Saccharomyces cerevisiae S288C: one gene and its partner. Changing the gene in region 1 together with any one later gene gives a genetic interaction. Each region holds a gene or a part of one and is shown on either strand. Other genes may lie near its edges. The genes, in order: SDS24 and MFG1.

What was found.
Region 2: mutations in SDS24 (region 1) and MFG1 together harm fitness more than expected from each alone (negative genetic interaction), as found in Saccharomyces cerevisiae (2 studies listed by BioGRID).

What each region holds. Positions count from the first base shown.
Region 1 is NC_001134.8:649,429-653,498, forward strand, and holds SDS24 (Sds24p), read left to right. Parts: upstream 1-1,986; coding exon 1,987-3,570; downstream 3,571-4,070. Other genes in the region: NGR1 (Ngr1p), read left to right, coding at 1-476; bifunctional precorrin-2 dehydrogenase/sirohydrochlorin ferrochelatase MET8, read left to right, coding at 940-1,764; HPC2 (Hpc2p), read left to right, coding at 3,928-3,940, 4,025-4,070. UniProt on the Saccharomyces cerevisiae protein: Involved in DNA replication and cell separation during budding.
Region 2 is NC_001136.10:34,805-38,896, forward strand, and holds MFG1 (Mfg1p), read left to right. Parts: upstream 1-1,992; coding exon 1,993-3,369; downstream 3,370-4,092. Other genes in the region: GTPase-activating protein GYP7, read right to left, coding at 1-1,673; olichyl-diphosphooligosaccharide--protein glycotransferase OST4, read left to right, coding at 3,683-3,793; BRE4 (Bre4p), read right to left, coding at 4,063-4,092. UniProt on the Saccharomyces cerevisiae protein: Transcriptional regulator with a general role in all morphogenetically distinct forms of filamentous growth, namely haploid invasive growth, biofilm formation, and diploid pseudohyphal growth.

The DNA of each region.
Region 1 (4,070 bases):
ACGATTATCACAGGAACAAGAATGGCAGCCATAGCGACCTCGTTAATCTGCAGAGATCTAATGTCCCGTATATGCAAGAAGACGGTGCACTGTACCCACACCAATATTCAAGTCCCTCATACTCGCTCCATCCGACGGGCAACCAATTCTCCAATGCTACTAATAACTTACCTCAATTTGGGAACGCGATGTCAATTTCTATGCAACTGCCCAATGGCAACAGCAATAAAACGGCCTCAAGCATGAACACAAACCCTAACACAAACATGATCATGAATTCTAACATGAACATGAACATGAACGTAAATCCAGTACCATACGGAATGGGAAACGGTGCAAATATGTATGACGTGTCCAGGATGATGACTCCTCCCTTAAATATAGCCCCGAATTCCAATAATTCGAAATCGAGCATCATGAACAAGCATCCTAATAGGAACAATGTTCCGCCAATTCATCCTTCTCTTCTACATTGATTACAAAAGACAAAAAAAGAAAATTTTAATCTTGTCCGCAGTTTTATCTGCGTCTCTACGTTCTTACGTTTCTTCTATTAATGCCATTTCAGTTACAACCTAGTCAATTGTCGATCCATAATTCTAATCAAATTTGTTTTTCCTCTATACTACCTATCTATTTTTATCTATCTAAGTACATTTATTTACTCAAACAGTTCCGTTTCAAAGTGTTTTATATTAACTATATATGCGAAAAGCTGGCGTCATAATTTCACGTGTTATAATAGCCATGCTGACGGAAAAAAAATGTGAAAATCGCTACAAAGTCCGATGACTACGGGCAGTAGCATGTAAATGATGGACACACACACACACATATATATATATATACATTTACTTCAATAAAAGGCTGTGCCAGACATTTTTGCCATACATTGTTCATGAAGTGTGCAAAATAAGAGAGTGTATAATAGGATAAAAAATGGTCAAATCGCTACAGCTAGCCCATCAATTAAAAGACAAGAAAATACTACTAATCGGAGGCGGAGAAGTCGGCTTGACAAGGTTATATAAGCTGATACCTACAGGTTGCAAGCTGACTTTAGTATCTCCTGACCTACACAAATCCATTATTCCGAAGTTTGGAAAATTCATCCAGAACGAGGATCAGCCCGACTACAGAGAAGACGCTAAACGCTTTATCAATCCGAACTGGGACCCCACGAAGAATGAAATTTACGAGTACATCCGCAGTGACTTCAAAGACGAATACCTCGACCTAGAAGACGAGAACGACGCGTGGTACATAATAATGACCTGTATACCCGACCACCCTGAAAGCGCAAGAATATATCACCTTTGTAAGGAAAGATTCGGTAAGCAGCAGCTGGTCAATGTGGCGGACAAACCTGATCTCTGTGACTTTTATTTCGGCGCCAACCTGGAGATAGGAGACCGTCTACAGATTCTGATCTCTACCAACGGCCTTTCTCCGCGCTTTGGCGCTCTAGTAAGAGATGAGATCCGTAACTTATTCACACAAATGGGGGATCTGGCGCTGGAGGACGCTGTCGTCAAACTAGGTGAGCTGAGAAGAGGAATTAGGCTGCTGGCACCAGACGACAAGGATGTCAAGTACCGCATGGATTGGGCCAGACGCTGCACAGACCTCTTCGGCATTCAGCACTGCCACAACATCGACGTAAAACGTCTGCTGGATCTTTTCAAGGTCATGTTTCAAGAACAGAACTGTTCCTTGCAGTTCCCTCCCAGAGAACGGTTGCTTAGCGAGTACTGCTCGTCTTGAGCGACAGGGCCTCCTCTTTTAAGGGGCGCGTCCTTTCTATTGTGTAGAGAAAATCTACTGGGATTTTGTATATATTTCGCATATATAGGGGTTGGAGAACGAACAACAATGCCTGTTCAGATCAACTTTTCTTCTATCTTATCAGGCAAGATCAGGCACACAACCCAACTATAATAACTATAAACACTTATAGAACAATTACCGTTTCTTCCTTCACACAACATGGCTTCTACTTCGAACACGTTCCCTCCAAGCCAAAGCAATTCTTCCAACAACCTTCCAACTTCTAGACATGCATCCATTGTGGAGATGCTGTCTACTCCGCCATTGCTGCCCCACGTTCAAGTGAACGATACAGACGACAAGGAACAACCAGAAGAGTCCACGCCGCCAACAGCAACAGCGGCAGCGCCTGGTCCAGGTTGTGCTGCTACACCCGCCCCCTTGCGCGATGAAAAGCCTCAATTCAAACTATCAGCTGTTCCTATGACCCAGACGCCATCGCAGTGTCTGTCATGTGTGCACGCCCAAAAATGGCAACACATACCGTTGTCGCAATTGATCGAACAGAATAAGCTTATTTTTGTTCCAGGTTCCATATCGGTAGAGGAGGCATTCAACACTTTGATCAAGTATCATCTAAACTCTATTCCCGTGGAATCTTTCCCCGGCGACATGAACTGTTTTACTTTCGACTACAATGACCTTAATTCGTACCTTTTGCTGGTTTTGAATAAAATCACCGTCAGCAACAAACAGCTTACTGCAGATTGCCAGAATGGAAAACCCGTACCAGTGGGCGAAATGGTGAAACTAACTCCTAAGAATCCGTTCTATAAGCTGCCGGAGAATGAGAGTTTGTCCACGGTGATGGGGATTCTCGGTTCGGGTGTCCATCGTGTAGCGATAACAAACGAAGAGATGACCAAAGTTAAAGGTATTTTGTCCCAACGTCGTTTGATAAAGTATCTTTGGGACAACGCTAGATCTTTTACAAGCTTAGAACCTCTATTAAACTCCTCATTACAAGATTTGCACATCGGTGTTCTCAATATTCAATCTAAGCCAACTTCAAGACAATCCCGTGTCATCTCTATTCAAGGCGAGGAGCCCTTAATCATGGGCCTTTATAAAATGCATGTGGAAAGAATTTCTTCCATTGCAGTCATCGACAAACAAGGTAATTTGCTAGGTAACATATCGGTAACGGACGTAAAACATGTCACAAGAACCTCCCAATACCCCTTACTACATAAGACATGTCGCCATTTCATTTCTGTCATTTTAAACTCCAGAGGATTAGAAACGGGTAAAGATTCTTTCCCCATTTTTCACGTATACCCCAGTAGTTCACTAGCAAGGACTCTTGCCAAGTTAGTTGCTACAAAGTCTCATAGACTATGGATCGTACAACCGCCGGAGTCGTCAACCTCGGCGTCATCCACAAATTTAACAGCTGCTAATACTGCAGCCAATGCAGTTTCTGCCACCGCTCAATCGTCTGCTAATGGTGCGACTCCAATGTCAAAGTCATCCTCTTCAACATCCCTCAACTCCCACTCTCCGTTGATGACAGCAATGGAAGACCCACCATCCCCACGTTCTTCGGCCATCGCGATCCCACCACCAAGTCCCGCTTCCTCAACAAACACACCAAACCTATTCGAAAAGGAATATAGAACGGGTAAGTTGATCGGTGTGGTCTCATTGACAGACATCATCAACTTATTAGCAAGGAAACAAACAGGGAATAAAGAAGTGGATCCGCAATCCGCAAGAAGACAGAGAGGCAGTATCGCCATGTGAGGCTTGCAGCGTTGTCTTTTCCCGCTGTTTCCCTCTCCCTCAAAAAAAAAAATCTTTTACAATGACTAAAAGAAAATATTGTTCATTTATATGGTTTTAAGTATTTTGTAGACATTTAAGCGTATATACTTGTTCTGAAAACATTTATATATTCTATTTTGTATATTCAACTTATTAAACTCTGACTTTTGCTATTGTCGCGTATATGTATATCTTTTTTTCTTGTCGTGGAAAATTAAAGCAAAATATGTCAGGCGAATGTACACACAATGCAGAAACTGATGCGGTTAATTTTGCATTCTGAAACGATTTAAACGAACAGCATTAACCTCCACGACCATATTCAAACGATTGGAAATGGACCAAAAAGGTATGTTCTGGCTTTATTTTCAATTATCCGCCCTTCGTTAGGGGTGTTTTAGATCATTTTGATTAACAATTCTATTTATGATAGCAATTGTCCTTGATAACTCTAAAAGTGGTAGTAAACAGACAAAATC
Region 2 (4,092 bases), on another chromosome or scaffold:
ATGAAGTGCGTAAAACACCAAAACGTTTTCCATTCTTCCTTCATGATGACATAAATAGGCGATAAAAGATCGGTCATCCCCTGCACGTAGCCTAAGTTTGTGTTGTAGACATTATAAGTGATAAGAATGTTTTGTAAATGTATCAAATGTGGGTTCCTGACTCCATCGTCTGCATCATCGCTCTCGTCATTAGCGGATTCGGGGCTGGTACTGTTATTTTCATTTGCTGGGAGTTGTTGTGGCGGTGGTGGTAATCCATCGATGGTATTGTATTGAAATATCTCCAAGTTTCTATCACAGCGTCTCACATCTTTAGATATTCTGAATAATTGATCGTTCCAATATTCCTCTTCATCTTCATCGTCAAATTGTAAAAAATCTTTTGACCAGGTTAGTTTCAATTGATCGTATTCCGCGGCTAAAGTTTGATCGATTTGTACCCTCTCGTCTTGAGAAGAATCCCACGGATATATTTCTAAGAGAAAACCCCAAACTTTCCCTCGCAAACTGTCATTTTCTAACCCACCATGAAATATGAAATCCTTAACTTCGTTTACCGTGACCCTCAGCCTCCCATCGTTCTCATCCCATAGCGAATTCCATTTCGCTTCCGTTAAAGGAAATTGTCTTTGCAGAGCATTATTTATTTCAGTATCACTTAATTCATCAGTTAGATTCAGGTCGTTGAAAATGTTATTCCTATACGAATCAAAGAGTTTGTTCTGCTTTTGATACCTCTCAGCTTCCTGTTTTACTCCTAATGACCAGTTTGCCAAATACACTCTTGCAGAGTCATAATCCTGTTCAATTTGTTTAACCTTCTCATTGTTCAGAAGCTTTTGCAAGTATTCATTGTCGATTTGTGATTTTTGTATGGGTGAGTTGTTAGTCAGCCAACTATCGATAAAATTGGTAGACTTGGTAGTCACGTCTGCTATCTTGCTCATTACGTTCCATTTCCATTCTTGGAATTTCTCGTTTAGTTTCACACCGGCGGTAGCGAGTTCAGTTGTATCTTTCTTCGAATTGTTATAACTTTCCAATAGATCCTTGGAAACGAAATTTCTCAAATCATTCAAAGAGGGATTTACTAACCAAAACTCTGGCTCTAAGTTTGATTTCTTGAGTTCCATCAGTTCGTTGATTTTGTTTCTCAAATCTACGCCACCCCAATACAATTCGTCCGAGTCATCAAATGGGTTCATGGATTTGCGTAGTCTTTTTAACTTGTCCGTAGTTGATGGGCAGAGTTGGTCATGAAAGAACAAGACAGGAGGTTGAAAGCCCGTAAACTGTTCTGTCAAGGGATATATTACCAGAGATCCGACATACCAACCATTTGGACTAGGAGGCCTAAATTGGATGCAGTATATTTGTGAGAGAGAAATTTCGAAAGCTTGACCTAAAGAAGTATTGACCAGGTTACTAAAGTTTATTGAATTTTCAATAACAAATGGTGTAGAAGTTGGACATGTGCCCACTTTAGCTTCATGTTTTAGTAGTTTTGATATCTCTAATGTGGATAAGCCAGATTCTGGGATATATTGGAGAATTGCTTGGTGGGATAGCTTATTCGCTTCCAATGTGAGTAGCAGGAAACCAGCAATATTATCTCTAGCATCGCTTGTTGGGTGTAAGAACACTTTAGATTTGCAGAATAGTATCTTACTCATCAGGGGATGTATGAATGACTCTTGTAGAACTTTGCCAATTTGTGCAACCTATATCTGAGAAACTGAATAGTATATTTGAGCACGATAAATTGATTTATATCTGACCAATTTATGGAAAGTTCTTAACTATTTCTTGCAAATGCGCCTCTCTTTATATAGAGCAGAACTTTGCCCCATATAGTATTGTTTAAGCCTCTCGGATTTCTTTTCTCATCTTGTGGGGCTTCCCGCCTGAACTAAAAATATTAACTATGGAGCAATAAAGACAACACTTGACACTGTTCATGGGGCAGAAGGAAAAGCAAAGATTATCTGCAATATGTACCAAGGCCCACCGCAACCGCCTCCTCAAGCTGTGCCGATGCCTTACATTGTGAATAATAACACACCACCGTACCCAAATGGTAATATTAACTTTCCTCCCACCGCGCAGCAGAATATACCGCCCACGGTTTATCCACAACAAGTGCCATTTCCAGGTCAACCACAGGGGGGTCAATTTCCACAGCCTTCATCAGAACAGCAGGTGTTTAACCAGCTTCCACAAGTGACTCAAACTTTTCACAACTCTGCGCAGAATACGAATGCAACTGGGGGCCCTGGCAGCGGGTCTATGCCAATGTTTACGCCGGTAGCATCCTTTCCCCATCCCATGGCTACAGCAGCAACGGCAGCTGCTCCGTTACCACGGTCTGCATCCCAGGCATCTTTATCTATGTTACGGGTGCCGTATCATGTAAGAAAATACTTATCTAATTTGGCGATGTTGAAATTGTACGAAATAATAAATGAGGTGAATACGGCAATGGGTAAGATTGGCCTGCTTTCATTCTGGACAGAATTAATATCAGATATTTTTACACCTGATGCAGTTATAAGGTATAGTAAAAAGTCTATGACAGATTATAGAGAATTCGAATTTATCATCCCAGTGTTCCCAGTTATTTGCTCTACATTAGGCAGATTTGGCATCGTTAGAATGGAAGTTAAGGTTTTACAATTGAAAACACAAGTTCTAAGTAATTCTACGATTTTTTTCAACTGTCCTCGTGTCACATTTGTCTATTATTATCCTGATGGTTCATATATTACACATTTTTCCCAAATGAAAGGTGCTTTCGATTTGGACTTGAAAATTAATTGGCTGGACGTATCTATGCATAGTTTTGTCCCTGATATTGAATGGAATGCAGTGGAACGGCTTTTGAGTGATGACACAAAGTCTACAGAAATTGAACAAATATTCCGTAAATTGAAACAAGAAGATGTCAAAGAGCAAGGGAATTCTTTTGCAGAAAATAATGCTACGAATGTTCCTCCGAATTTTGAGGCCATCACTCAGCTGAGATCATATTTTGACGTATTCAGAAACGTCTCTGTGTTTGGCACTCAAGAAGGGTTGATGAGAGTCATGCAAATAAGTACCGTTATGTCTACTTTGAAAAACCTTCGAAAGTTTCAAATTGAAAAGAACATTGATAGTCCCGTGACCGCCCTAAGTGCGTACATTGACGCCGACAAGAAGGACAGTGGAAGCGAGCCCTTGCACGCAAAGAGGCGACGCAACAGCGGTATCTCTCCTCGCACCACGACGTTGGGGCCAAACGGCAACTCCAATACAAGCAATGAAGAGCTTCCAACAAGTGATGTGAATGATATTAACAAAGACATGACAAAAAAGAAGATGAAGTTTTAAAGAAGGTAATTACCTAACGTCACCCACTGAAATATTAAGAGAATTGCATGAATCTAGCAGAATGGGAATGTGACATGGTAGCAGCAACCGCAAGGTGTGGCATAGATTATAGTAGTGACAAAACTGTACAATTACTATATAGTGAGATATAATACAATGGTTTATTCAAGATATATTAACCCCCGGGTAATGGACCAAATTTGGAAAAGTCTCGGATTCTCATAAAAGCTTAATAAATAAAGAGTATTTCGAAACAAACACGACAATTACACTTGCAAGTCAGTAGAGAAACCCAGTACAGAGCAAGCAAAAGATGATCTCTGATGAACAGCTGAACTCCTTGGCCATCACCTTCGGTATTGTGATGATGACTTTAATTGTCATTTACCATGCTGTTGACTCCACCATGTCTCCTAAGAACTAAAGTGGTTACATTTGGATAGCGAACTTCAGTTTTTATTATACGTCGCTTTGTGTTTCTGCAAAACAAAACAAAACTACAACTACAAAGTACTGCGTTGGATTTCAATCAGTGCTACATTAATTTTTCTCCCTTTTTACTTCGTTTTACGCACAAAAATATACAGATAAATACACTCGAGATAAACAAGACATCTCCTTCCGCTATTTTTTGTATAATTTAATATCATTATTAATAAAAAGAATTCCTATACATATATTCAAAAACAAATGTTAAAAGTTTTCTTCGCCCAGTATATCTTT